2 linked regions of the Rattus norvegicus genome follow. The protein of the gene in region 1 purifies or fractionates together with the protein of each later gene. This does not show direct contact. Links are inferred from orthologs where the notes say so. Each region holds a gene or a part of one and is shown in the gene's direction. Other genes may lie near its edges.

Region 1 (15,464 bases):
AAGAATTATTGCTAATTTAAAAAAAAAAAAAAAGGGCTGGAGAGATGGCTCAGTGGTTAAGAGCACCGACTGCTCTTCCCGAGGTCCTGAGTTCAAATCCCAGCAACCACATGGTGGCTCACAACCATCTGAAATGAGATCTGATACCCTCTTCTGGTGTGTCTGAAGATAGTGACAGTGTAATCATAATATATAATAAATAAAATATTTAAAAAAAAAGAATTATTGCTAAACAGGTTCACTTCCTCCATTTCCTAATAACTTTCTCTTCCATTACTTCTGGTGGTTGGTGGGCTAGAGGAGAGATTGAAGGTAGGTTGCAAAAAATTTATGCTCACAGAAAACACACACATACCACCACCACCACCAACAACAACAATAAACATAGCTCATTGATATCTCTCAACATCAATGATCTCAACTCCTCAATAAAAATACATAGACTAACAGAATGGGGTGAAAATGGGGTCTATGCTTTTATAGCAAAGGACCCTAGGGGCTTTTGCCAGCCTTATACCCACTGCCTCAGGTCAAGATTAGGCCAAGTACCAGCTTCTGGCCTTGGGTCAAGGCTAGGCCAAGTTCCATTCTCTACCCACCGTTCTCAGGAGGAGCAGGGACATTCTTGAAAAGCCAAATGTACTGACTGATAGTCACCTGACCCTCTGGTCCCAGATAGAGTTTGAATGCATGTTATATGCTTGCTAGCCAATAGACTTCAAAGGTCAATATGCTTAGCCAATAAGTTAAAACTGTAACCTTAGGGGTTGGGGATTTAGCTCAGTGGTAGAGCACTTGCCTAGCAGGTGCAAGGCCCTGGGTTCGGTCCCCAGCTCCAGAAAAACAAAACAAAACAAAACAAAACAAACTGTAACCTTGCTGATGTAACCTGAACTCCTAAAAAGTATAAAAACTGCTTATGATAGACATTCAGGGTCGTCTTCTAGTCATTTGCCACAAGGGGCTGATTAAGGGTTGATCCTGACGTGCCAGAAAAATAAACCTCTTACATTTGCCTCGAACTCCATTCTCGTGTCTCACTTGAAGGGGTCTCCTGGTAGTTAAGACTCACTTCCAGCCTTACAATAGCATCCAAGAAGCACACTGTAATATCAAAGATAGATATCACTTTAGGGTATAAGGATGGAAAAAGATTAGATTCCAGTAAATGGACCTAAGAAACAAGATGGTGTGGCCATTTCTTTAAAAAGAGTTATTTTATTTATTTCATGTATATAAGGACACTGTTGCTGTCTTCAAACACACCAGAAGAGGGCATCAGATCCCATTATAGGTGGTTGTGAGCCACCATGTAGTTGCTGAGAATTGAACTCAGGAGCTCTGGAAGAGCAGTTCAGGCTCTAACTGCTGAGCCATCTCTCCAGTCCTGGTGTGGCCATTTTAACATCTGACAAAATAGACTTCAAACCAAAACTAATTAGAAGAAATAGAGAAGGACACTGCATACTCATCAGAGTGTTGGGGCCTAGATAAAATATTAAGACCTAGATGGAAAATTAAGGCCTAGGTAACAGTTACCTGGCTAGCCTGCCATTATAAGGAAACGTTCTCATATGTTTCTGCTGTTACTAAAAAACTTTCAAATGCTTCGATTGATTATGTAATTCTGTTATGTTCACAGAATCACAATAGAAGTCAGTAGAGCTGTTTTGTATAGTTACCCACTATAGGCTTGCACCCAAAATAACCACCCTATAGCAAGTTCATCTTGTACCTTTGTATAAGCTTTTATGCTATAAGCTGCCCCTGGGATGGACCACAACATAAGTGAGACACTTGCCCAATATAAGAAACTATTCGGAATAAGACTTCTATTTTGAGCAGTGCTCCAGTAATGTTTAAGTTCCCAAGACATCACTGGTAACTGATCCCGCTTGGCGAGTTAAGACCTGAATGTTAGACAAGTCCCATCCTTGTAGACAAGACATGAATATCAGACAAGCCAAGTCTCCTGCCACAGTTGAATACCCCAACCAATGGGAGCAGGGTAAGTGTACAACAAAGACACGTTCCTAAGGAAATCCCCATCCCTAAATCCTGATTGGTGGATAACTTGGCACAGATGTTTGTGGATTTTAGGCTTAAAAGCTCTGTAGAGGGCTGGCGAGATGGCTCAATGGTTGAGTGCTGACTGCTCTTCCAGAGGTCCTGAGTTCAATTCCCAGCAACCACATGGTGGCTCACAACCATCTGAAGACAACCATGTCTGAAGATGACAACAGCGTACTCATAAAAAGTAAATAAATAATTCTTTTTTTTAAAAAAATTTTTTTTGATCTGTCTCCCCTAAGCTGATTCTGGAACGACCTCATTTCCATTCGTGGGCCTTCCTAAACCCTGTTCCTCGACTCTGTTCTCTTAGTCCTCATAGCCAACCACCCTAGGGAGAAGGGAGACCTACAGGCCACTGTAGATTAAAGGTGAATATCAAAAACAGGAACAGCAGAAAGCTTACTGAACACATGGAAACTGAACAATTCACTACGAAGGAACACCAAGTCAGAAATTAAACTTCCTAGAATTGAATGAAACTTAATACACAACATACCCAAACTTACGGGGCACAATAACTCAGGCCTAAGAGGAAAGTTCTTAGCATTAACTGCCTACATAAAAATTTGGAGAATTCTCACACTAGCAACTGAGTAGTAGCTCACCTGAAGGCTCTTGAAAAAATTAACCACTGGGCAAAACTGCCCCATGACTCACCTGCTGCCAGGGCTGTACACAAACTGTAGCCACTTTTGGGTTATTGCCCTGTGTCTCGGTCTGGCAGACAGATACCCACTGTACTCTGCGTATCAGCTGGAAATTAAATTCTGTAGAACAGGCAGCAACAACTGACCACTGCCAGCCACGTAGAGACCATGGGAGCCTAGGGCAGGTAGTGGGTGAATCTCTGTCATTTTAATTGAAATAGCTATAATTTATTCTTCTCCGATCTCTGTGATATTGACTAACTGTAGCTTTAACAGCAGCAAGCATGCCAGCTCCTCCCCCAAGGCCATAGCTGCCTTCTCTTCCTTGGTAAAAAATCAGGCCTCAGGCCTCCTTTCCTAGAGCGACCCTCTCCGGCTGAGAAGACAGTTTACCTTGCCCAGACTCTGAAAGGAGATAAATTCAGAGAGGCTTTCAACCCAGAATCATTTTAGGGTTCCCAAGCTTTTACTATAACCCTAAGGCACGAATCTACTGCTCTTTTTACAATGTAGATTTCAGGATAGGTTACAAACAGAGGTAATGCTAACATATTTAAAATTTCTTATATTTTTGAAAACTTAAAAAAAATTATTGTAAGCTTCGGGGTCAGCAGGTCAATCAGATTCCAGAGAAGTACCGTCAATCAGTAGACTTTCCCCCCACCTGCCTATTCCACCCATTCCTGAAGGTAGGGGTCTCGATCTTTCTTCCCTAGTCTTAAAACTCCCCTCCCCCAACTACCAGGAAGGAGGGCCTGGAAGTTTCAATGGCACAAATAATTTTCCCCTAAACTCCTTAACTTTATCGTCTGTCTTTAGTTTGTCTGTCCCAGCAGATTTCAAATCAACTGCAGACTGCTCTAGCTGCTCGCCAGCCCCTGAATCTGCATCCCAGACAGCTCCAAAAGTGGCTAACCCCAGCCAGCCCAGCATCACAGACTGCTGTACTTCCCTAGCCCCAGATGGTGGCACAAAGCCTGGACAGCAAGTGTACCTCTTTCCCTCCCTCCCTCCCTCCTTCCCATCACCCTTACGAAGCATTCCGGCTTTTGTGGATCCCCAGCAATGACACCTCAGAGTCAAAAGGAAGTAGTCATAGAAAAGATTACATCACTCCTTATCAGGATGGTCCTTACTATCTATCAACAATGGAAGTTAGGTCTCAAACCTGAGGCAAAAGGCGGATTTAACATATCAAAACAGATCAAGTCACCAGGTTCTCCCAGCATCTCTATTCCTTGCCTGTTACAGGGTATGGCTGGCATACCCTGCCCCCTACCCTGAAGGCTCCAGTCCAGGGGCTGTCCTTCTCCCAGATGCTCTTCTGCATATAATCCAGTCATTCGGTTATGGGTTCCTTTTTACCTTTTACCCTTTTGGCCTCTTGGTCTCTTGGCTTTCCCCTCCCCACTTTCCTCACAAGGCCCAGCTCGGGGTCATGTTCATTCTGGACTTTCCCAGAGTCTCTGCCTCTGCCTTTGCTCTCTCTCATGTCTACAATAAACTTTTTCCTCCAGCATACTTAGGGGGAGTCACATGCTCCGTTTTTATTCCTTTTTTTCATTCAGGCACATGTGTGTATGTGAGGGTCCATGCATATAGAGGCCACGTGTAGATGTCCAAAATTGCCCTCCTCTGCTCTTCCACCGTAACTCAAATGAGCCAGGGTCTCTCAATCAATAAGCTAGTGTTGCTAGTCAGCAGGTCCTGCGAAGACTGAGATTTCAGTCAGGCTGCTTGGCATTTATGTGGCCTCTGGGGATTGTGATCCTCACACTTGTGTAGTAAGCCCTTTACCCACCACACCACCTTCCCAGATCGTGCCTGGCAATTTTACACAAGACTCTGGGGACAGGATTCAGGTCCTCACGTTTGGAGACAAGCCATCGTTCCACCTCAGGGAAAGGTTTTCTTTACTCTTCCCCACTTGTTTTCTTCCTTCAGTCAATAAATACATATTAAACCTTCATTAAACCAGAGTGCATCTAGGGACAAAAAAGATCTCTGTTAGCATGAACAGCCTAGGGCTGTGGATCCCCCCTCACAGGTAGAGCTCACCAGTGACATAAGACAAGGAGAGGACAGTCTGCATTCTGACTCGAGATGTAAATAATGAGATTAACTCCTAACGAGTATAATTTAAAACTGAGGCAAATGCTAGAACGGAAATAAAACAAGGATGTGAAGTACCTGGCAGTTCTGGGCAGGCCTTTCTGAGGAAGTAACATTTGAACTGAGAGCTAAGTGATAAAAAAAAAAAAAAAAAAAGGAGCTAGCCAAGTGGAAAGTGTTGTGTGGTGGAAAAGGTCTGTGGTGGGAGAGATGCTTGGTAAGTTGAATAAGAGGAATGAAGACGAAAGATGGAGGAATGAATAGAGAATAGTGTCATTTCCTCTGGATGTGGACTGGAGGGTTTTCTTGTCTGTTTGCTTTAGATGAATGGAAATCCTTTGTGGGTCTTAAGAAGGGAGAAACACTGCTGGGTGTTAGGCAAGTTTGTGCCCACTGTTAGAAGTCTCTTCTTCCCAAGCCTCCTTCTTTCTCCTTGGCCCCTCAGCTCAATCAAGGGAAATGAGGGCCCACCACCTGTGGTGTCCCCTGAGGTTTGCCTGTGGCAAACAGGAAGTCACAGCCCAGTAGAGATAGGCCTGGGACTCAACTCAGAAACTAGGTCTCTTGGGTCTCTTAGTCTTTCCTCTGAGTGCTGTCATCAGTGAAAGGTATGCACACATGCTCGGGCACACAGACTTGGGCACACAAACATGGACACACATATACACATACACACGCACACCACATACACACCACATACACACAGGCACACACAACACACACAGAGACAGAGATACACAGACACATCGACACAAGAGACACACAACATACACACAGAGGTACACACACAGACACATATATATACACACAGGCATACACACACACACACACACACATGCATAGACACTGTACTATCACTGTGTGACTTTAGATAATGCTCTTCCAGTCTTGAGGCCTAAACTTAATGTCTGTGAGTCTCTACAACAGAAGCAGGAATTACCTGGAGAATAAAGGGATCTTAATAAGAAGCCATTTCTAAAGACCACTGCAAAGCACATGGCTCTTGGTCACCATACTGCTGTCTAGCCTCTTCCCAGCTCTGATTGCTGTGCCCCCAGAACAGTTTCTGGTCAGCTCTCTTACTAACTTGCTTAGAGATAAGGAAATTTAACCATGGTTTTGCATGTAGCTGAGTGGGCGCCACTCTCAGCCACAAACTGATGATGACTCTCAGAAACTGAACTGTAAACCAAAAAAAGCTACACACACACACACACACACACACTCCACACCACATATATGCTCCCCTATATACTACATACAAAGTACATACACATACACATCACACCACATACACACGCCCCACACCACGTAAAAACTACATGCACACACACATACCACGCTACATACATACTCCCACCACACCCATATAAACTACACGCACACACACACACCATATACATACAAACCACACACATACACATACCCCCACCCCACAATCAAACTACATACACACACACACCATACCACATACACATACCCCCACCCCACATACAAACTACATGCACACACACACCATACTACATGCATACCACACCACACCACATACAAACTAAATGCACACATACACACCACATACACACAAACCCCACACACATACACATACATACACACATCATACTACAACCACCCACACACATACACCCTAGACACCACCCACTGTTTTTTCTTGTGCTGCAACTCAGGGAATTATATATGGTAGGCAAGTGTTCTACCATTGGTCTACATTATCTACCCAGCTCACATTCCTTTTTGGGGATATTGGGGGTGGGATTGACAGAGTCTCACTAAGTAGCCGTGGCTGGCCTGAAACTTCCAAGGATCCAGCTATTGTTGCCTTTCAGTTGCTGTGATTAAAGGTGTGTGCCTCTGTGCCTGTTTGGCTCCTCCTTTTCTGAGAGGGGGGTCTTGCTATGTACCCTAAGCTAGAATGAAGTGTGGTATGTGTGTGTGTGTGTGTGTGTGTGTGTGCGCGCGCGCGCGCGCGCGCGTACCTGTCTGTCTGTCTGTCTGTGTCTATGCCTGTGTGGTAGCAGGGATTAAATCTAGGGTCTTTTGTTTGCTTGTTTGTTTTTTGTTTTTTCCGGAGCTGAGGACCGAACCCAGGGCGGCTCTATCATTGAGCTAAATCCTCAACCCCAAATCTAGGGTCTTATATATATACTTTATCACTGAACTATGTCCTCAGCTTTTTAAAAAAACTTTTTAATTTTCAGTTAAGTTCTCCCTGAGTACTGTGGATTGGCTTTGAACTCACTCTGCAGTCCAAGATGGCCTTGACTTTTGTGATTTTTTCCAGTAACTGGAATTATAGGCCTGGATCACCAGACCCAATATAAAATCCTAATGCTATCCTCAGATGATAGAGAAAAAAAGTGGAAGCCAGGCACGATGGCGTATGCCTTTAATTTTACCAGCTGGAAACAGAGCTGTAAAATGGGGTCAGAGCTTGGAGCCTGGAGAAAGGAGGAGAAAAAAGACCCTAAATCTGTACCCACTCATTTGACAAATGTTTACCAGGTGCCACTGTGTGGAAAGCACTGTGCGTGCAGTGGTGAAGACATTAGCCTTACCGGACTTCCATGCCGAACCATACGTAAGATCACATACTTGGTTTAAATGCTGGGTGACAGGAGGGGACAAGTGTTGTGGATTTGGAAGAGTGCCTGCAAAAGGGGGCCCAAGGTGTGACCACCCCCTTTCCTCTATGTGGGGACTGCCACAACCCTCACAGACACCCATGGTTCATTGCCCACTAGGCTCCTGCTTGCCCCAGCATCCTCTGCGCAGCCGCGCAGAAGCCGGGTGCCCCAGGGAGCCTGGCTACCATGCCATCTCCTCTCCCTGTCTCCCTCCTCCTCTTCCTTACCTTAGTAGGAGGCAGGCCCCAGAATTCCTTACTGGTGGAGGTAGAAGGTATGTCTGTCTGTCTGTACGTCTGACTGGAAGGAGCTAGGGTTGGGAGCCTGGGTTCCTGGTTGAGTAACTGGCCTTCTTTGAGCCTCCATTTTCTTACTTGTAAACTTCTGAGAGGTGTCAGAAAGACCTTTAGGGCTTTCCATATGGTGAACTTCTGGGGTCCTTTGATTTATGAGGAGGGAAAAGGGGTTGGGGCTCTCCTTTTCCTCTCCCCACAGAGGGAGACAATGTTGTGCTGTCATGCCTCCGGGACTCCTCACCTGTCTCTTCTGAGAAGCTGGCTTGGTATCGAGGTAACCAGTCAACACCCTTCCTGGAGCTGAGCCTCAGGTCCCCGGACCTGGGTCTGCACATCGGGCCCCTGGGCATCTTGCTAGTGATTGTCAATGTCTCGGACCATAGGGGGGGCTTCTATCTGTGCCAAAAGAGGCCCTCTTTCAAGGACACCTGGCAGCCTGCCTGGACCGTAAACGTGGAGGATAGTGGTGAGTGCCTGGGAGGGCTGGGCTGTGGGGGTGGGCTGTAAAGAGGGTTTCTCCATGGACACAGGAAGTTCTTAGGTCTAGTGACGCTACAGCGGCAGGAAGGAGTTAGTTCTAGGCACCTGGTTCCTACGGCTTCGTAGCTGCTCTGAGCTACTCTGTCTCTGTCTCACTCATCTGTTAGTCATAGTGGCTTTCTCCCTGTATCTCTGGCTCTGCTTTTTGGGGCCTCTGTATCTCCCCCTTCTCCTGATCTGCGTCTAGTCTGGGGTCTCTTCTCAGGGGAGCTGTTCCGGTGGAATGCTTCAGACTTGGGGGACCTGGATTGTGACCTAGGAAACAGGTCCTCAGGGAGCCACAGGTCCACTTCTGGTTCCCAGCTGTATGTGTGGGCTACAGATCATCCTGAGGTCTGGAAAACAAAGCCTGTATGTGCCCCACGGGAGATCAGTCTGAATCAGAGTCTAATCAACCAAGGTAGGGGAACAGGGCTGTTCGAGTGCTGGGAAGTGAGGGCTCAAGGATAGGGATGGTGCTGGGAACTCGGGGGTGGGGGGAAATGAGACCCCCCCATGATACTTTCTTTACCTTTTATCTCCTGCCTTAGATCTCACTGTGGCCCCTGGCTCCACACTTTGGCTGTCCTGTGGCGTACCCCCTGTCCCAGTGACCAAAGGCTCCATCTCCTGGACCCATGTGCATCCTAAGACGCTTAACGTTTCATTACTGAGCCTAAGCCTTGGGGGAGAGCACCCAGTGAGAGAGATGTGGGTTTGGGGGTCTCTTTTGCTACTGCCCCAAGCCAAAGCTTCAGATGAAGGTACCTATTATTGTCTCCAAGGAGGCCTGACCATCAAGATGCACGTGAAGGTCATTGCAAGGTCAGGTAGGGTTTCTTCCAATTTTGGGAGCTACTGGAAGAATTAGAAGGGCTAGGGGTGTGGTTCTGTGGTAGAGTGTGGGCATAGCATGTATGAGGTTCTGTTTCCATCCCTAGAACTAACACACACACACACTCTCTCTCTCTCTCTCTCTCTCTCTCTCTCTCTCTCTCTCTCTCATGTGTGTGTGTGTGTGTGTGTGTGTGTGTGTGTGTGTGTGTGTGTGTGTGTGGAGAGAGGGGGCAGACAGACAGACAGAAAGACAGACAGACCAAAACTGGTGGTGTACAACTGTAACCTAGAACTTGGGAGGCTGAGGCATGAGTACAATACCAAGACAGACTTGGAACTGGCACCAGAACCAGCTTCAAGCCTCATCCCAAACTCCAGTTTGTACACTGAATCCTAACTCTAGCTCTTTGCTCATTGCTTCTGAGATCTCGTTTTTCTGGTTCTTCCCTGTGAGCTTTGCTGGCTTCTTCCTCCACCACTGCTCCCTTTTGGAGCCCCAGGCCTTGTACTCACTTCTATCCACACCCTCTTCTCATTTGGCATCCTTTACTCCCATGGTTCCTAGGTTACCACTCCTTATACCTTTCCTGGGCTCTATACTCCCCAAAACCAGTCATCTCCTGGGATTGCCATTTCATGTCCAGTGGACATCTCAGGCTTAATATATAAAGTCAAATCGACATCTTTCCCACATAGACACTTTGGATGGCTTTGCACAAATGGAGCACTGAGAAGCATATACAGGGTCCATTTGCCCAAGTTAGGAGCCTGACTGTCTTCTCTTTCCTCACTCCCTCCATCAAATTCGCCACAATGTCTTGCCTTGCTTCTCCTTAATACAACAGTACCATGCTATCCTGACCACAACTGTTAAGTGCTACCTCTGCTTCCACTTCAAACTTGATCCCAACATATGTTGGATCTCAACTCTAACTTGGAAGATTCACTTTTGCCCTCCATGTTGACCATGGTTATCCTTAACTGCAGAATTAACCATCTCCTAGTCCTCACATTGCTAGGATAATACCCATGCTTTGTATGTGACTTGTTGGAGTCTTGTGCTCTGTGGCACAACCCTTGTTCTCCTGGGAACAACTGGTTCTTCCTTAGTGGAAGGGAGAAGAGCTCCCTGAAGAGATTAAGACTTTGAGTCTGTGTCTTGCTCTAGTCTCTCAGCTGTACGACCCTTGAGGGGTTGGGGAATAAGATGTGTTGTGGGGTTCTTGTCTCATAGCACTTTCCTCTTAGCAGTGTGGCTCTGGCTGTTGAGGACTGGTGGATGGATAGTCCCAGTTGTGACTTTAGTATATGTCATCTTCTGTATGGTTTCTATGGCGGCTTTTCTCTATTTTCGAAGAGGTAAGTCATGCCCCTGAGTTTCTCTAAATTCTACCCCATCTTTCTCAGAATAAGCCTATGCTGGCCAATCTGACACATCCCATAGCCTCATGCTTCTTTACTGTCTCTCATACTTCCTGGAGGCCCTAGAATTTGTATGATCATCTCCTATATTGACCTAAGTGACCTCCCCTGTATCCCCAAATTCACCTCCTGCCTGCCAAACCCTCTCCTGATCCACCTCTTTACATCCCATCAGCCTTCATCCTGAGGAGGAAGAGGAAGCGAATGACCGACCCTGCTAGGAGGTAAAGTACAAATGCCCTTTTGCTGCAAGCTTTACACTCTTTGTCCCGTGGGCCTTGGGGCCATCTCTATTGGTTGAAATACTGCGCAAGTTCAGAGACCACCTTCCAAATCACCTTGCTTGGCATGGTCACAAACTCATTGGGTACGCATCCCTACACAGTTAATTTCCAGAATAGACTGGAACTGGGAATCCCTACGTGGTTCAGCCTTAAGGTACACCACCAACTCTTTCTTCCTCCAGATTCTTCAAAGTGACGCCTCCCTCAGGAAACGGGACCCAGAACCAGTATGGGAATGTGCTCTCCCTTCCTACATCTACCTCTGGCCAGGGTGAGGGACTACCCACCCTTGGGAGGCCTTCAACTTCCCTCTGGCAGTAGCCAGCTATGCATTGTCCTCATTTCTCCAATCTTCTTGGAGCAGAACCTTCCCCAGAGTAGAGCCCAGAACTAAATAACATCAGATCGGCCAAGTCCAGTGTCTGGACCCTGGCCAGAGTGAGCCTTGTCCTAGAACTTAAGGCCAAGGCCCACATTTCGATCCCTTCCCCACGGCTCAAGGCCAGTCACACAGGCACACAGAGGCTTTCTGAACAGCCTCTGACAGCCATCTTAAAACACTCTTTCCACCAGCCCATGCTCAGCGTTGGGCTGCTAGCCTAGGGAGTGGTCCTGTGTCCTATGGAAATCCACGCATTGAAGTCCAGGATGCTGGAGCTCAGAGACATGAAACAGGTCAGATTGAAGGGTGGTTCCTCAACTGGAGAGTGTCAGAGCAGCCTCTGGTGGGGTTAGCGGACTGCTGGTAGAGGAGAGATGCCACTCAGTTCTCCACACCGGTCCCAAACTCAGGACTGGAAGAAGAAGGGGAGGCCTATGAAGAGCCAGACAGCGAGGAGGGCTCTGAATTCTATGAGAATGACTCCAACCTTGAGCAGGATCAACTTTCCCAGGGTGAGGCCCCACTCTCCCTGGTCCCAACATTTCCCCAACTGTGGGCTGCTGACCTTTACTAGAGATAACCCTCTTTCTCTATCAGATGGCAGTGGCTATGAGAACCCTGAGGATGACCCCGTAGGTCCAGAGGAGGAAGACTCCTTCTCCAATGGTAATGTGGGGTCCTTGTGGGGCTGGTGGTTAGGAAAGCACTCTTGGTGCTGCAGAGCTCCTATTGCCTGAGCAACTCCTGGGCTCTCTCTTCCACAGCCGAGTCTTATGAAAATGCAGATGAGGAGCTGGCCCAACCAGTTGGCAGGACGATGGGTGTGTATCTGAGTGTTTGAGGGCTGCCACTCTTGGAAGAGGCTGAAGACCAGGAGAAAAAGTGACATCTTTGTCTCTCTTCTTGTTCCAGACTTCCTGAGCCCCCACGGGTCTGCATGGGACCCCAGCCGGGAAGCATCCTCCCTTGGTGAGAGTACTTAGGACATCTTTCTTTGGTCAATCTCAGATGATATAAACTTAGCTCTGATCCCCAAGCCTAAGCTTGACCCTGGCGTTGGACCCGATTTGTAACTCCACCCTCTAGCCTGTTTCCCAGTGTTTCTACCATCTCTAACCGTGAAGATCAGTCTTGACCCCAATGAACCTGACATAGTTGTGTCTAGAATTCCAGCTTGTGGGAGGCTAAGGCGGGGAGATTTGAGGCTAGCTTGCCGTACTTTGTGAATTCCAGGCCAGCCTAGGCTGAATGAGACTTTGTAACAAAAATTTAACAAAAAATAATCAGCCAACCAACTAAAGCATTGACCCCCAACATCTCCCCTAGAGTTTGACCTTTACCTCACTCCAGTCTAATAGTGCAGACTTCATCCTTGACCCCAGCTGTCTGTATCATTTCCTATGACCTTGGCTTTGACTCCTCCCAACTCTGTTCTCGACCCTTCCTTTGACCTTAGCCTTCTTACAACTGAGTAGGATCTCGATGATGACAAATCATTCCCACTTTGACATAAGGAGCTTCTACTCCCTGCCTAGCTCCTCTCTCCTGGGTAGGCAGCACTTCCCTTCCCCAAGCCCCAGCAGGGTTTCTGGGTCTCTAATTTTCCATCCCATGCCTAAGCAGGGTCCCAGTCCTACGAAGACATGAGAGGGATCCTGTATGCAGCTCCTCAGCTCCAATCAATTCGGTCTGGTCCCAGTCATGAGGAAGGTGGGTGTTTCTGCACTGTTCCTTGTTGTCTCTGGACCCCCTCGCCCCCAGTTGTCCTCTGGACCCGGCCGCCCACCCAGAGCTTCCTTCTTATCCTATTTATACTTTCCTTTTCCTGGTCTTAATCCAGATGCAGACTCTTATGAAAACATGGATAAATCTGACGACCCAGAGCCAGCATGGGCAGGAGAGGGCCACATGGGGACTTGGGGTGCCACGTGACTCCCAGGTGACTAGGTGAGCTGGACACTGCCCCTCAGAGAGGGGAGGAAGAAGGAGATAAACAAGGATGATGATGCAGCACTGGCTCCTGGGGAGAGGAAGGGGACCCGTTTCCTGGGTCCAGTGAATAGGGCCTAGACTTCTTCCCATATTTGTTTGTTTATTGGTTTGTTCTTTTACGTAGCCTGGACTTCCTTAGGTCCCGAGAACCCCATCTTACTCTGAAATCTGGAGATCCCAAGAAGATGGTGTCAGTCAGTGAAATAACCTTGTTTAGGATGTGTGTGCGCACACACACACACACACACACTCATATGCATGTACAAGCAAAGCTTCCTTTTGACTCTTTTTGCTTTCCCCAAATAAACTCAACAAGCCACTCAAATACTCTGAAGCATGCCCTTGTGTGGGAGAAGAAGGAAAGATGAGGCTGAATCCAGCTCTGAATCACCCAGAGGAAGGAGAGCTGGTCTGAATACATCCTGGCCCTAGCATGATATTTAGCCACTAACATCCAATGATGCAAATATGTTCAGCCATTATTCCATGGTGTCCCACAAGGGACAGACAGTGATGGGATTGGCACCCCTGCACAAACTGGGAAACCCTGTCTGCCCTTCTTCCCTTAACCCTGGCTGCTCTGGGCTAGCAGGTCAGTACCCCTCATCTCTGAGTTTCCGGCAACCCACCTGAGTGCCCGCCCAGGGTTTCAGCTTCTGACCATATGTGGACACCACCCCAGCTCTGAACTTACATATCATCACTCCTTGTCTAAGACCTATAAAACCCCCTTACCTTAGCCCAGGTGTGCCATTTCCCTGCTCCCTCCCCTGTCCTTGGGATCTGTGAACGTACTCAAGAGCTGCTCTCAATAAATCTGCCTCTATATGTCTTAATTTGGCTTGAATTGGCTTATTTCTTTGGTGGAGAAAACCTATTATCTTAGTACTGAGAACCTAGGAGGAATTGAGCCTAAAGCCCTGGCTTTAGTGCTGGGCCTCTAGCCTTGTGGGGAACTGATCCTCTCCTCTTCCCTCTCTCTCCTCCCAAACTGCCCCCCCCCCCCCGCCTGCCACTTCCCTGCATTCTCACAGGATGGTTCTTTTCACTTTCTTTTTTGATCATGCCCATCTGCCTGATACCTTTACTTGACTGTGATATCCTCTGCTGTTTTGGGGCCACCTCCTCCCCCTGGCTCCCATAATCTCTCCTGACTCCCATCTTCTTCTTCCTCTAGTTGCCTCAAGGATCACTACCTGAGACTGTCCTGTTCTACCCTACCGGATTCTCTCCACTCCTGAGTATGGGCTATTTCAACCCTGGTGATTGTTACTCATCACCAGATGGTCCTAGTTCACTTCAAGGACCCTTCTCCCTTCCCTTCCCAACCCTAGTTTCCCATTTCTGAAACCATCACCACAGACTCAAGCCCATCATTAACCACCTCCTATTTCAGGGACTTCTCCCCCCCCCCTTTAAAAATAATTGGATATTTTCTTTATTTATATTTCAAATGTTATCCCCTTTCCCTATTTTCCCTCCCCCTGCCTCTATGATGGTGCTGCCCCACCCACCCACCCACTCTCTCCTGCCTCCCTGCCCTGGCATTCTCTTACACTGGGGCATCGAACCTTCACAGGACCAAGGGCCTCTCTTCCCATTGATGCCTAACAAGGCCATTCTCTTCTACATATGTGGCTGGAGACATGAGTCGCTCCATGTGTACTCTTTGGTTAGTGGTTTAGGCCCTGGGAGCTTTGGAGTGTCTGGTTGGTTGATATTGTTGTTCTTTCAGGGACTTCTAATGCAACACTTCCATTCTCCCAGTGAATAAGCCTACCAGTTAGTACAGAACCTCTACCTCATTAACAAGGCAGTAATCCCAACCTACGCATGGTTACCAACCCCTACATCCTCCTCTCTAACATTCCTCCTAAGACTTTCAACTTACCATCCTGGACCTCAAAGATGCCTTCTTTTTTTTTTTTTTTTTTTTTTTTTTTTTAAGAACCATCTTTTATTGGGGGAGGGGTCATCAATCCTTCTTGGCCGCCGCCTTCCGCATGGCTGCCAGCACGTTGCTCAGCTCCTCCCTCTTTCTCTTGGCCCGGATGTGCGTGCCCACCCTCTTCTTGATAAACTTGAGTGCTCGCTTGTCCTTGGACACCTTGAGCAGCTCCATGGCACGCCGCTCGTAGGGCGCGAAGCCGCACACCTCCCGGATCATATCTCGCACGAACTTGGTGTGCTTGGTGAGGCGCCCGCGGCGGCGGCGGCTGTGTCTCGGCTTGCTGACGTTTTTCGTCACTTTGTGGCCT
Region 2 (14,365 bases), about 17 Mb from region 1:
CAAGGCTGGGCAGGGGGCAGCTAGCACAGAGTAGAACACTGTCCCAAGCCTGTTCCCTTTCAGTCACTTCTGGGAAACCACAAGCCCAGCTGGGCAGGGACCCAGCACGCTTGGCAGCTCCTCATCTTGTTAAAGTTTGAGTCTGTTATGGATTAGTCCTTAAGAAGGAGGAAGCAACATAATCCTGCATAGAGTCATGAATGCATCCTTTTGTGTCAGGGAAGGAACTCCAGGAACCTGGACATGCCACCTGGGTGCTTCCCACCCCCACCTCTAAGCAGAAGGCCTTTAGGCTACAGGAGCAGGTGGCAGAGCCACCTGGAGAAAGGAAGCTTTGGGCAGAGGTGTCTTAGGTCCCTGAGTGGGTTCTCGAAGACATCCCAGGTTCTGCTGTCGGTAAGAATCTTCACGGCTCACTTGCTCCTCAGCTCTATCGAGAGCTAAATACAGTGACATCATATTTAGCAGCCTGTGCGTATCACTTCCCCTGTTTACAAATGACGAGGAGGGTGGAGGAGTTGAGATGGATCTGTGATACCCTAGCTGGCATATGACACAGCCAGACGCTCAGACCATCCTTACCCTTACCTGGGGCTCCATCCAGTGGCACCCCTCCATTTTCCATGGACACCAGACTTCCTTATTTTCTTCTTTTAAACGGGTGTGAGTGTTGCCCGGATTTTGCAGATCATTCTGAACCTATGGTTCTAGAGACAAGATGTATATATATATATATATACCTGACTGCTACTAATCACTTGGACACCCCTATCCCCTTCTTGGGCCTGGGGAATGTAGTTTAGCAGAGCCACTGATCCAGGGACTGTGGAGTGGAGCAAGGGTGGGGTAAGTAGCTTTCTGAAGCTGTGCTTGACATATAATAGTCAACATTTACACTCCATGAAACTTAGCACCTTCAGGAGAGTATCCTGGGCTCTCTGTGGTCCCCCTTTATCCCATCTCACGGCAGAATTTCTGTTGGGTTATCACCGTACTATCTTGAACGAACTTTGAATTCTGCTTTCATCTGAGCAGGGTCAGAAGGCACCAGCTGCTTCATCTTCTATGTGCTCCTTTTATTCCCCATGATTGAACTGTCCTCCATGCTGTCTCACGGGCCATGAGATGGACCCAGGGTCTGCCCATTCACTGACCAGGGGACATATGGACTGCTCTAGGTCAGGCTGTAACAGGGAAACATTTGGGGGACATGCACACACGAGCATAAGACCTGAAGTGCAAGGCTGGCTGTGGTAAGTGGGAGGTGCCAGCTAACTTTCTCAGAGGCAGACTTCAGAAATGCTTGCCAATGCAGAAGCACCACTCCTCACCCCACCCGGGAGCACCGGTGGCAATTTGGGGTCAGTGGGTAGATTCGTAATCTCCTTGTGGCTCTTTAGTGCTTCATGATGTCAGGAGAGTAGTCTGAACCAGTGCTTGCATGCCCTCTGTGTGTGTGTGTGTGTGTGTGTGTGTGTGTGTGTGTGTGTGTGTGTGTACACATCTTATAAAACATGAGTGTGGTTTAGCTCTCTTACCATAGAGTTTTGGAAGTTCCTCATCTGTTTTGGTTATGTTAGTTACATTTGAAGCTGAGGTTTCTTTCCAGCCTCTTAGTCCTTGAAGACCCTTGTCCCACCTTCCTGGGCCCCTTACTTTTCCCAGCACTCCCTCTACCTCTCCCTAGAGCAGCAGGGTGAAGGGTCACTTTGCTGAAGGAAGTCATCCCAGTGCCTGACTTTCCTTCCCATTCAGCTCTGATTGCCCCTGGGACAATGGGGTGAGTGGCCAAGTCCCTATTCCCAGATGCCTTGCCTACCCCCACCCCAGTTTGGCCTCTCTTATGATTGACAGCCACAGATCCTTAGCTTTCTCTTTCTCTTTCTCTCTTTTTATTCAGGTCTGTCAGTTAAAGAATAAATCCCAGAGAGTTTTCTGGAGTCAACTCCCTGATCCCAACTCTTTTATAAAACCTGTCTGTAAGTGATGGCTTGGCCAGACACCCACATTAGCAGCCTTTGGGACTCAGCTGAACAGCATCTCTCACCCTGTTTTGCCCCCAGTTCACAGACAATATCCCCTTACCATTAGAGAAGCCAGAGTCAAGCATGGTTGTGTGCTCGACTGTTTTACAGGTAAGCCCACAGACTGAGGAAAGCAGGGTGACCCACCAGCTGCCCCTCAGCCTCTGTGGCTATCAGGGTTTGTCACCGCAGGGTCATGTTACCACCAAGGGAAGGATGAGGAACAGGTGTGCCTCCTGGTTCTCCTGCCCAGGTTCTCAGAAAGACCTCTGGACCAGTTCTTAAACAAAATAAGTGATGTTTCAAAGGAAGCCAGGTTACCAGGGCAACTCAGTCTTGTCACTGCCTCCTCAAGCCAGTTTAGGAGGAGTCTGGCACTGTGCTGCCTGTTGGAGCCTGTGCCATGCCCTACCCTCCTGCCTCTGTTGCCCAAGTTGATGGCTAGGCTCTTAAGGGTGTGTAGACAGAGCTGTCGCTGTAACGTGCTGGAAGGTCTGGGGATCCCCAGCATTACTAGGGCTGTTACACATGAAGGCACCGTCAGAGTCTCAGTCTTCATGCCATTTGTGGATTGGGCACAGGTGCTCAGTGTGACTTTGATTTTTATATTACACACTCTCTTCTCTTAGGCTCTGGTGGAGGTTGGGGGCTCATCCCTCTTGGATTGGAGTGTGAACATGGAATTAAACACCTAAAGAGGAGACTGAGAAACTGAGGAAGAAGGGCGCATGAATGGGGTAGGAGTAGAGGGCGATGGTAATCAGGAGAAAGTATCCCCCACCACAGCTTCCTCTTTGAGGGTTAAGCAGAGCACGAGATCCTAGGGTAGAAGAAGGTAGGTGAGTTCCATATGTCCTCTTTCCGGGACCATCCTGCTTGGGAATTTCCCCAGAACTTTCTTGAGCTTGTGCTCTGTCCTGAATCCCCACAGTGAAGAGCAGGTGCCCTTTCAGGCCCGGGTTCTGGTTTCTATTTGCTGTCTCTACTGGGGAGTGCCACTGACCCTTCCAGAAGAGAAGGCCTAGAAGTGGGGAAGAGATTGCTTCCCTTGGTCTGTTCTCACCGTGGGGCCTGGTGACATCACATGGTCACCCCTGTCCTCCTGGCAGGGAGACCTTGGTGTCTCTACCGCAGAGTTCTCAGTACCCTACCTGAAGCAGTCTCTACACAGTCTCAGGGCCGTTGGGACAGGGTACCAGGGGAGAGCCCGGCAGCATCCTGAGTGGCTAGGGCTCATTGTGGCCACTTCTCAGATAAAAATGTTGTACAGTTGGTCAATCTGGAACAGTAGGGGGAAAAATGTTTCCTGTTGATTTTGGAGACAAGGTTTCAATAGCCCAGGCTAGTCTCAAACTCACATGACCTTGAATTCCTGATCCTCCTGCTTTTACTTCTCAAGTGCCACCAAACCCAGTTTACGTGGTGCTAGCTTGAACCCAGGGCTCCCTACATGCCAAAGCCTCTTATCAACTGAGCCACGTTTTCTGCCCAAACCTCCTTGTTTGTGTCGTGCACTATTAGAGGTACACTTGAACTCTGTTCTAGAGTTACAATGAAAGGAGCTGGTGGGACCCAGAGCTCAGCGGCAGTGGCTCAGTGAGCAGACCCCATGGGGCCTGGTTGACGTCCGGCTCCACAACTGGAAGTGATGGCTTTATATGATAAGCATCGTAGGGTTCCATCGCCTCACAGCGCTCTGGCCTCTATATGACATTGTTCCTGATTTTTTTTTCCTAGCTGGCTGGAGGTGTGATCCTAGGTGTAGCTCTGTGGTTGCGCCATGATCCACAAACCACCAGCCTTCTCTACCTGGAACTGGGAGACAAACCAGCACCTAGCACCTTCTATGTGGGTGAGTAACAAAGAGACAGGGTCTAGTCACAAGTCCAGAACAGTCAGGGAGGGCTTCCAGGAAGAGGCTGATGAATCTGAATCTGGTGGGTGGGGCATTAGAACCCACAGTGGCCTAGGCCTAATATGAGCTGGAGAGGGAGGCTGCCTACAAGAGGAGAGTTGGGTTGGGTGTGGTGCTGCTGGGGACCCCACAGATCTGAGACTGGGCTAAACTGAAAGGAAGCAGCTGGGAAGGGCAGGGGCCTTGTAGGACCTTGCTTATTTTAACATGGACATTTCTAGTGAACCTTCCTGGGCAGGGTGGGGCTGGATGCCTGGGCTAGCAACAGCTGAGGCCCCAGGAGTCCTGAGTTGGGGAGGGCTGGAGACAGTGAATGACTCAGATACCCCATCACACCCCACCCCACCCCCACCAGCAGAGGCCAGACTGCTGCACCTGCCTTATTTGGCTGCCTGTGGGGGACTGAGCACCTCCCTCTCAAGTAGGAAGATAGCGGCTGTGCTATGCTGTCCTATGCTGTGGTCCACTATTCTGTGCTGAAGGAGGAAGCTTTCCTCCTTCCTCCCCCTGGAAGAGGGACCTGGTGTCCCGAGAACTGAAGAAGTATTTGGAGATGGTTTCACCCTTCTAAAGCTCTCACCTTCATCAGGGGTCTAATGTGGATCTTCCTCCTCCTCCTGTGGAGCCTAGAAGGGGCTGGGGAGACATGCTTGAGGCTGAGTGGGGACCAGGAGATCTGAAGTAATCAGCATTCTCCCTTTCCGCCTAAGTGCCCCAGAGCAGACAGGGCTTTGGTCACCACATGACTCGCTCTATTTCCTTCCTCCCTATACTCTGCCCACAGCTTCAGCGTGGGTAAAATGGACCGTGGTAGAGTCCAGACAATGTAGGCTGGGGCCAGAACCTGGTCTCCTTCGAGGAAGGCTGTGAGGGGTAGCAGTTTTCAGGCGTGGTTGTTAGTAGGAAAGGGCCCACACCAGCTATCCGTCCTTGGATCTGGTACCTTCAGAGGAGGAGGAGGATGCCCACTAGCTCATACAGACACTGGCTTGTTGTGTAGCAACTGATATGGGTCTCTTTACAAGGGAGATCTGGGCATCAGAGACAGACAAGGGGAAGGCTGTGTTCCCACTCTGCACTGGTATGGCAGGAGAGGCTGGGTACCCTGCAGAGCCCAGATAGGGTGGCCTAGGAAGCAGGTCTCTATCCTCATGTTCTCATAATAGTCTACTCCAGGCTCCAGTTCCAGAGCTGCTCAGCCACCTGCCCATCTGGGGTTATGGCCCCCTGGATACTGGATAAATAGTCTCAGGGACTACACTGTGTAGCAGGTTGGGTGCTGACAGCAAGGCCCATAGCCTATGGGTAGGAGCTACTCTGGCTGCTGTGTCCCTGGACAACCTGAATTGACTTTCTGGAGCTTCCTGCTGCCCCTGAACTGAGCTCCTCTAGGAGCAGATGTGGCCCTGAAAAAGGTGTCTTGTCCAGTGTTTAGGAGAGTGAGTTCAGGGCTTGCCTAACATCCCAGAAACCACCACATGGGCTTTAGGTGAGACATGCGTTAGGCCTAGGAAGTCCTGGGACAGTGCCTGTGTGTTGGGTGCCCGACTGTATGTATCCTCCTTTGAGACAGCCTACACCTCATCTTGAGGTTGGGGTTTCAGGGCTTGACAACAGGGACCTGGTTGAAGGTGCTCCGCCCATTGGGAGGCAAAGGTGAAACCAGTTTCTAGGCAACCTTGGTGGGAGGTTTCCCCTAGACCAGGCATGTTTAGTGAGGCCAGAGGATTTGGCCTGTTTCTAAGTCTGGCAGCAGGTCCAGGCCACGGTACTTTCTCCGCTGGTCTGGCCAGGCAGGGGACAATGGGTCTGACTCTGTACAAGGAAGCTTGGAGTGCCCTGCATTGTTGCCGTGGAGACTGGGGGATGGGCTGCTTCTACTGAGGAACCAAGAGATAGAGGGCTCATCAGAGACACAGTGTGCTTTCCCTCGGGGCTGAGGGGTACTGTGGCCACTGAGGCAGGGACATGGTCCAACTGGTGCCTCGTGGGCCACAGTGTTCCCCTGCAAACTCACAGCCCAGCCAGTGGCAGATGTTGGGTGCTCTGCTCAAACTATCCCTATCATTCTGTCAGCCCTCCAGCCACCCCCCCACAGGTTCCTGTCCTTAGAGTTAGGTGAGCAGAATGGTTATACAGCGTTCCTGAGATGAGGTGCCTGGAGTTGGTTACTGGCTTAGCTTACCCTTGACTTCACACTCATCCAGTATTGGGAGTCCTGGACATCGGGCCCCAACATCCACGACACTTCCCCATTTCATGCACTGAAGTGGGTAGTCTGCCTCAGCCCTCTACAGTGAGTGCCGAGGAGGGTTCCTGATCTCAGGTGCAGGTGGTGGGGGACTGGCTCCAGAGCAGAGCATACCTGTGAAATGGAGATTACCCGTGTTCTCTGGGCACTGAATTGCTGTTTTGTCCTCCAGTGGCAGTGGCGGCTCCTCTCACAGGACACTGAGGCACAAATGGCGCACATTGCTAACCTCTGCCTGTTGTGGTTGTGAGTCAGATCTTCCTATCTCAGGCAGTGGTGCATGCAGCCTGCTTACCCAGCTCTTCCCCTCCCCAGGCATCTACATTCTCATTGCTGTGGGAGCTGTGATGATGTTTGTAGGCTTCCTGGGGTGCTATGGGGCCATCCAGGAGTCCCAGTGCCTGCTGGGGACGGTGAGTAGAAAGGGCTGAAGGGCTGGGGAGCAGGGTTTCTGGCAACTTACGTGTCTTCCCCAAGGTTTTGGTTTTCCTGTTTGCTTGATTTCCATTGGGTCTGCATATGAATATATATCTTAGAAAAAGGGATTTCACTTTAGAAAAAAATAGACTCCAGAAGGGCATCTCACCCCTAAAGCCAGCCTTAGTGCTCCTGACCATACTAGCTACTGGAGAAGAAGCTGAAGCCCAGATAGATATGCCTTCTAGAGCCTGGTCAGCCTGGGAGGGAGGCCCTGACAGTATCGAAAGCAGGGGAAACGACTGAAGCACACTTCATAGTTTAACCTTTCCATGGCTGTAGGATAAAGGAGGTGAGGAAACTGAGGTCAGGGTTGCGGGGTGTTTTGCTGCATGTGCCTCAGTGAAGGCTGTGGACACTTGGACTTGTCAGCTGCATTTCTTACACCAGCCATATCCTGCAGAATAGGAAGCAGGGGGAGGCTGTGACAACTTGGCCATCTCAGTGGGGCTGTATCAGGCTCTATCTCTCAGTGGCTCTACGTGGCTCATTCTTAATCAGGCCATGGTTAGTGGATACAGCCAACCCCCTTGGCACATAGTTGTTGGTCACGTGGGCTAGGCCTGGGCTTGCTGGTCAAGGCTCTGACCTCTTCTTTCTCCTAGTTCTTCACTTGCCTTGTGATCCTGTTTGCCTGTGAGGTAGCTGCGGGCATCTGGGGCTTTGTAAACAAAGACCAGGTAAGCCAGATTCACTGGGGAGGGAGATATGCCCTCTGCTCTGAGCCCATAGGTTATCAGGTACTTTTTTTTAATTTCTGGGGCCCATTGGTGGGGGCAGGGTCTTGGGAGCTTAGTGGAAGAGGTGGCATGGGGCTGAGCACATGGGGGGTGGGATGAATACTCTTGGTGGTAGCCCCTTCGCTGCACGTGACCATGATTCTCCCCCAGATCGCCAAGGATGTGAAGCAGTTCTACGACCAGGCCCTTCAGCAGGCTGTGATGGATGATGATGCCAACAATGCCAAGGCAGTGGTGAAGACCTTCCATGAGACGGTACAGCTAAGCTGGAGCAGGAGGGCAGGTTGTGGGGTGTGTGGGGGCATGAGTCCCAGATCTCTGTAACAAGACCTGGGAAAGGTTCTCCTCTATGATTAGATTCCCCAGGTAGGAATCTAATGGGCCTCGTTTTCCCAGGGGTTTGGAGGAATGGGACTTGTGTGCAGGGTGACCAACCAGGCAGAAGGACAGACAGCTCCCAAGTGTATATTTTGGGGTGATGCTGTGCTGTGGGCTTGATCTTTCCCTTGACAGTGTTGTTCTTGGTCTCTGCAGCTCAACTGTTGTGGCTCCAATACGCTGACCACACTGACCACCACCGTGCTGAGGAACAGCCTGTGTCCCTCAAGCAGCAACTCATTCACTCAGCTTCTGAAGGTGGCGTGGAGTGGGGGTGGGCATCATATCCTGGGTGGTAGGTAGGGGAATGTGGCACGCCAGGAAGATCAGCACTCTGAACAGGCAGGACCTCTGAAAGGCCCATAGACCATCTCAATTAGTGGGATGCAGGGTCCTGACAGCCTGGGTTAACCCCTGCAATATCCTGAAAACCTGTTCTCTTGAGTAGTCCCTCAAACACTGGTACCCTAGGGTACTAGTGAGGTCAAAAACACTACCCCGTGATAGAGAAGGCCACAGGCAGCAGGTCCATGTGTTTTACATTTATTTACATGTGGAAGATAAGCTGTGGTGCCTAGGCCCCATCACTGAGTAGGGTGGTAGCTGTGACTTAGCCACTGACTGTTAACCACCGTCTTGCCATCCCTGCAGGAAGACTGCCATCAGAAAATCGATGAGCTCTTTTCTGGGAAGCTGTACCTCATTGGAATTGCAGCCATTGTGGTAGCTGTCATTATGGTAAGCACAGGGCCTCTGGTGGGTAGGCGGGCAGAAAGCATCCTTCCCAGGGTCTTAGGTGCTGACTGTGCCTCTCCCTCCTGCAGATCTTCGAGATGATTCTGAGCATGGTGCTGTGCTGTGGCATCCGGAACAGCTCCGTGTACTAAGGCCCTTCGCTTCGCACCAGAGGGTCCCTGGAATGACCAGAGGCCACCTTGGGGGCCATGGCCTGTGTATATACTATTTCTGTATTACTCTGCTACACTTAGCCTTTTTACTTTTGAGTCTTTTTTGTTCTGAACTTTTCCTGTCACCTTTTGGAGCCGACACCACACATAGGTGGCGTATGTGGGGACGTAGAGGTGGAGCTGGCCCTAGCTGGCAGGGCCCTGTACTTCTGGGACCCCTGGAGAGTTCTGCCTGCTGAGCCAAACCTCCTCCATAGCTACTTGTCCAGAGGCCACATAGCCAAGCTAGAAGGCCATGTCCACCCACTCTGCCCACTGTGGGTCACATCGCTCCCATCTTTTTAATCCTTGTCCCTTTCCTGCCTCCATTTCAAGAGCTGGGTTTGTAAGCACTCTTATGCCTTCAATGCACTTATTCTTTCTAACGTGTCACCTTCAACTGTAATTAAATCTTGAAACAGTCATTTAATAAAGGAGGAAAAAATCAGGCATGCTAATGGGACTGCCAGACCTCTTCCTGTGCCAGTGGTGTCAGAGACCTGGCTCGTCAGCTCTGAACTTTGCCAGGTACAGGGTGAGCAGGTCCAATAGAGCCTGTGGAACACAGTGGGTGGGGAGGGCTGGGACCCTGGGAGCACTCCATGTTGAGTACTCCCTCACTTCTGTACCTCCCTGTACTGGGAGCTCAATGCTGACCTAACACCAGCCTTGACCTCATTTCCACTCATCTGTTGGGAATGCCAGGTCGGCTGAGTCGGGTAGGAGGAGCCACAAGGCAGGGGAATCCAGCACAGAATGTTGGGGATAAACTGCAAGAACACTTTCCTTTTGAGGGACAAGACAGTAAAGGTTAGACCATTACCCCATCTCAGGTATCTAGGTGTTGGAAATATTCCACTGAGCTGGATGGTTCTAGCTTGTGTCTCAAGAAATAAAAGGCAGTCCGCTGAGCTCACCCCTGTGAACTGAGGATCAGGCTAAAGCAACCTCCTGGACACAAGGGGCAACCACCACTGTCTTTCTCTTTGACTCCTGTCTGCACCCCTCCCCCAGGCTGCTGGGTTAATTGGCCACTAGAGAGGAGAAGTCCTGGCTAAGATTCAGGTCCCAGCAGTAGGCTGATTTGTCGGTGAACCCCAAGCTTGTACTAGGGCATTCTAGGTCTCAGCCACCTCCACCCACCACGCCAGGGCAACCTGTTCCATGCTTGGCTGGCTTCTGAGGGAACCTTTATATTCTATGTTGTGAGGCCCATGGGCACCAGGCCAAGGCTGTTGGAAGCCTGTTGCACAGCTTCAAGAACATAGTAAAGGAGGAGAGAATGCAGCAGCCCAGTGGATCCTCAGACTCTGGTGTCTAAGGATGCAAGAAAACAGTCCCAGGCCTGGAGGAGGATTATGTGTGGCCTTGAATAGTAGGGTCAGCGTCCAGCACCTAAAGCGTCCGTCCGTGCCTGTGTCAGGAAGCACAGACAGGCAGTGCCCACGGTAACGGCCTCGAATCTATGAAGCCCCAACCAACCCATTACAAGGACCACCACGTCTCTATACGCCAAGAGCCAACCAGGACCTTGGTCCCGCCCAACTCCAGAAAGCCAACAAAGCACAAGACCCGCACCACTTCCGCCCAGGGCCGGAAGTGTCTGGGAAACTGGTTGTAGCTCGCAGTGCGTAGTGACGCACTTCCTCGTGTCGGACCCGGCCCAGGTGGCTTCCGACGGACGACGCTAGAAGCCTCAACCCTTTGCGATTGGCAGTTAACCCTAGAGTATTGTGGGAATCACGGCTCCGCCTTTTCCCCTTTCGTCATTTCTGGGTGGATTTCCGTGTGCGCTCCGGTCTTCGGGATGGCACACATGTTACAAGTCCCGGCAGGCATTAGGCAGTGACCCCATTGCCTTCTGGGAGTTGTAGTTTCTCGGGCGCTGAAGCCACAATATTCTGATAGCCCGAGACTCGGTTTCCCAGGAATCCAAGCGAGATTGAACAGGCCGGAATCCCGTGGAACTGGCGGGACGCTGCGGGAAAGGTGGCAGGTTATTGAAGCGTGTACGGATGCTGGAACGGTGAGCACTGGCCTCCCTAGGGCCGCGACCAGGCCAGTACCGTGCCTGTTTCTGCCACCTCCCCCTCCGGACCCCGGGTGGTGCCTTCAGTGTGTGCCCAGAGAGGCTGCGCTTTGCTAAGAGCTCGTGATGGGACGAGCCGCTGATGGAGATCCCCTGTCACCAGCATCTCCCAGCGCTCATCTATTGTATGTCCACACTGTTATGATCTCATGGTTGACTCTCTCCTTAACCCCACCTAACCTGCAGCTCCACATCTGTGCACGCTAGGATACCCTTTAGCCACCCAGCTTCGCGAGGCCTCCGGTCCGGTTGTGAGTAGAGGCGCCTGGCACACAGTGGAGGTGAAAGAGCCCGGGAGGGCGGGGAGGGGTGCGGCATTAGGTACACCCCTCACGGCAGAACTGGGACTGCCTTGCTACAGGTGGGACGGATGTCAGGTCTTATGGCGGAGACAGAGGCCGGCTTGGAGGTTGAGGAACCCACCGAGGATGACACCCTGCCTTCTGACACCGTCTCCCTCAGCGACTCGGACTCTGACCTCAGCTTACCTAGTGGTGTGGAGGTCCAAGCGTTGTCCCCAGAGAGGCTTTCTGGGGAGAGCCAGGAGGACTCGGGCCCTGATGACCCTCCCTCGCACCCCACGGGCATTCCCACCACTGCAGTGCAGCCGTTCCACCTCCGAGGCATGAGCTCCACTTTCTCCCAGCGGAGCCACAGCATCTTTGATTGTCTGGAGAGTGCAGCCCGGCAGGAACCGTGCTCTGCTCCCCAAACCAGTGTGGTTGACAATTGCAGCTTCAAGCGGCCTGTGGCTCCCCCAAGTCAGACTCCAGCAAGAAGCTTGAGCAGAGTGCATGGGAACACTGACCCGACCAGGGTACACCCTGTCCCTGACTATGTGTCACACCCTGAGCGTTGGACCAAATACAGTCTGGAAGATGTGTCTGAAACCAGTGAGCAGAGCAATCGTGATGCTGCCCTGGCCTTCCTGAGCTCTCGAAGCCAGGCATCCCCCACAGACTATGTGCCCTTTTTCAACCAGGACCCCTCTAGCTGTGGGGAGGGAAGAGTGGTCTTCACCAAACCAGTGCGGGGCAGCGAGGCTAGGGCTGAGAGGAAGAGGGTCCTAAAGAAGGGGGTTGTGTCAGGTGCAGGGGGTGAGGCCTCAGTGGAGCTAGCCCATCTCGCCGGGCCTGAGGCTGAGGAATGGAGTGGCCACCAGGGACAGCCAGAGGTGGTAGTGCCTTCAGAAGCTGCCCGTCCTGAGTCCTCATCAGGCCCCATAGGTATGAAAACTGTTGGTTTCCATGGCAGCAAGAAGCGGAGCAGAGACCACTTCCGGAACAGGGATAGTAACCCGGAGGGGCCAGGGTCTGAGAGAGGACCCTCAGTTTGACTGCAGTGCCATCGCTCTACCTCCTCACCTGCCCAGTCCAGGTGGGACAGTGTGGGCTCTCTGTAGTAGGGATGTGTGGGCCTCAACTCTGGCAGAGACTGGGAATTGTGGGTCAGGGGACCTTGAAGGCCTTTGTGCCCCATTGTTTGGGGTGAATAATAAAGGTTTTGAGTATTTACTGAATTTCGTGAATTTTTCTCGGCCCCACTCAAGAGTTATGTCCAAACAGTCCTGGGCAGCTAACTACAGGACTGCATCTCTACCAGCCTCATCCTGCCTTCCCCGCTCTAGTGAGGACCGCTGTGAAGGTTTGCCATGGGCATTGATGTTTGTCACTGGTAACCTACCCAGAGGGAGTGGGCTCGTAGCTGTGTTCAGCCTTGTGCCCCTGATGGTACTGGATGAGCATAATATGGTCCCCCTGCCCCCCAGAAACCAGTGCAGCCCCAGCACTGGGCCCGCACAGACCACGGGTTCTAGGAAGAGGATAAGTTGTGAGCCAGCAAATGGTTGGTGTCCGGGCTGTATGTCTCCAGGACTTGTGACCTCTGTATAAGACACAGCTGATGCTAGATCCTTCAGCTGAAGCTGGGCCAGGGAGGAGGAGAAGGATGCACGAGTGAGTATTTCATGTGGAGGCCAGGGACTTGGACCAAGTTAGCCAGCCTGGCCTGCTAAGCACCGGGTCTGCCCCAGTCTCTGTAGTTCGCCTAGAAAGGACCTGGGTGGTCATTTAATTTGAGAAGTAGTAGAAGGAACAGAGATGCTGTTCATTGGGTCAGATAACTCCATGTTCCCCAGGTGTTTGAAATGTTGGTTTAGCCACCCCTGTGGTCCAGTTTAGCTTAGTTGAGGTGGTCTACAGGCTTTATAGAAAGTAAAATAGCATTGGGTACCCTTGAGCAGTATCTTGGGGTTTGTGCCAGGACAATCACACAAATTATGCTGTGGGGGCTGAAGGATGGGAGCTGATTACAGTAGATCTGAGTCCTGCCCTCTAGAAGCTGGTCGGCTGATGGATGAATCAGAGGACAAGAAGGAAACCTCTAGTGTTTAAGAGGTTGGCCTCTTTGGAACTCAGGGTAAGACAGGCTAGACGTAAGTAGCCCCATCCAGGCAGATGGTATCCCATGTGGGACTTGGCCAGTTCCAGCTGTCCAGTCTTAGCTGGTGAAAGTTTTAGGTAGGACATGAGAAAACTTCCCCTGCTGGAGAGGACGCCTGGGGCTCCCAGATAGATGCCAAAGACATGAGTCTCATTTTCATAGGAAGAGGTGTCCAAGACATGGTCTGCGGCAAGGTCTCGGGGCTGCTGGGGCAGGGGAAGGTTGATGTGACCCAAAACCTCAATCTGGCCAGGTCTGGAGCTCTAGGGCAAGTGGTTTCTCCATTTCAGGTGTCTGAGTGTGGCAAGCCAGCCTCTAGGTACTCCCTGTCTCTAGCAGAGGCTGGCTGACTCCTGCGACCACAGTTTTGAGAACCTGGGAGCAAGAAAGGGAGAAAGGATCCTTAGCTGGAAAGCCCCAGCTGGGGCAGGGCAGGAGTGAGACAAGGGCCAGGACATGGAAAGTGGTAAGGATAGCAAGACCAGTGCTAGGCAGAGCCTTGGGCACCTGTATGCCTCAGAAATAGTGGCCTGCGAAGGGTAGCAGGAACCTCTAACACAGATGGAGAAGGCAGGATCCAATATGCAGCCCGAAGCTTTTCTCTTGCCTTAATCTGGTGGCTGAAGGGAGGAGCCCATACCCATCTCATTCCCATAGCCTGAACCAACACTCACTTGAGTAGGTGCCTCCAGGAGCCAGTGTGTCAGTCATGGAGGACAAGAGGAGCATACAGTAGTTGGCCTAGAGAGAGCCAAGGGAGATACTGGGACTTTGGCGAGGGTTGTTGGGGGGAACGAGGGGGGTTGCTTTCCTCCCACATGATTGCCCTCCTACCAGGGCTATTCTTGCCCTGGGACTCCACACTCTGGACCAGGTTGCCCCATAGAGCACGATAAGGGGTGGTGACCAGATGTGGTGTTGAACCTAGGTTTTGTTGGACCAGTGTGCCCTGAGGTCTCACCTGTCCTGCCCATAATCTTTCTGCTCTGTTCAGGGTTGATGCTACCTACCCATCAGGATGCTGGTACAGGGCTGTGGTAGTTCCCAGAAGGGTGTCCCCACCCCAGGAAGAAAAGTGGACAGTTGAGTTGCTAGCTTGCCT

Evidence for each region.
Region 2: the proteins of Cd19 (region 1) and Cd81 purify together in Homo sapiens (affinity purification with western blotting, with the first as the bait; 3 studies listed by BioGRID). This does not show direct contact. The link is inferred for Rattus norvegicus from reciprocal best matches to the Homo sapiens genes CD19 and CD81.

What each region holds. Positions count from the first base shown.
Region 1 is NC_086019.1:190,416,431-190,431,894, reverse strand, and holds Cd19 (B-lymphocyte antigen CD19 precursor), read left to right. Parts: upstream 1-7,626; 5' UTR 7,627-7,660; coding exon 7,661-7,748; intron 7,749-7,969; coding exon 7,970-8,236; intron 8,237-8,515; coding exon 8,516-8,710; intron 8,711-8,840; coding exon 8,841-9,119; intron 9,120-9,147; exon of another isoform or gene 9,148-10,374; coding exon 10,375-10,485; intron 10,486-10,723; coding exon 10,724-10,772; intron 10,773-11,014; coding exon 11,015-11,103; intron 11,104-11,405; coding exon 11,406-11,507; intron 11,508-11,624; coding exon 11,625-11,726; intron 11,727-11,811; coding exon 11,812-11,880; intron 11,881-11,978; coding exon 11,979-12,035; intron 12,036-12,126; coding exon 12,127-12,183; intron 12,184-12,837; coding exon 12,838-12,924; intron 12,925-13,054; coding exon 13,055-13,146; 3' UTR 13,147-13,161; exon of another isoform or gene 13,162-13,330; 3' UTR 13,331-14,042; downstream 14,043-15,464. Other genes in the region: Rpl36l3 (large ribosomal subunit protein eL36-like), read right to left, coding at 15,182-15,464. UniProt on the Homo sapiens protein: Functions as a coreceptor for the B-cell antigen receptor complex (BCR) on B-lymphocytes. Decreases the threshold for activation of downstream signaling pathways and for triggering B-cell responses to antigens.
Region 2 is NC_086019.1:207,671,905-207,686,269, forward strand, and holds the end of Cd81 (CD81 antigen), read left to right. Parts: intron 1-3,761; coding exon 3,762-3,876; intron 3,877-6,505; coding exon 6,506-6,603; intron 6,604-7,272; coding exon 7,273-7,347; intron 7,348-7,557; coding exon 7,558-7,662; intron 7,663-7,941; coding exon 7,942-8,043; intron 8,044-8,436; coding exon 8,437-8,523; coding exon of another isoform or gene 8,524-8,609; coding exon 8,610-8,672; 3' UTR 8,673-9,190; downstream 9,191-14,365. Other genes in the region: U5 small nuclear ribonucleoprotein TSSC4, read left to right, coding at 11,192-12,157; Trpm5 (transient receptor potential cation channel subfamily M member 5), read right to left, coding at 13,550-13,638, 13,938-14,004, 14,364-14,365. UniProt on the Homo sapiens protein: Structural component of specialized membrane microdomains known as tetraspanin-enriched microdomains (TERMs), which act as platforms for receptor clustering and signaling.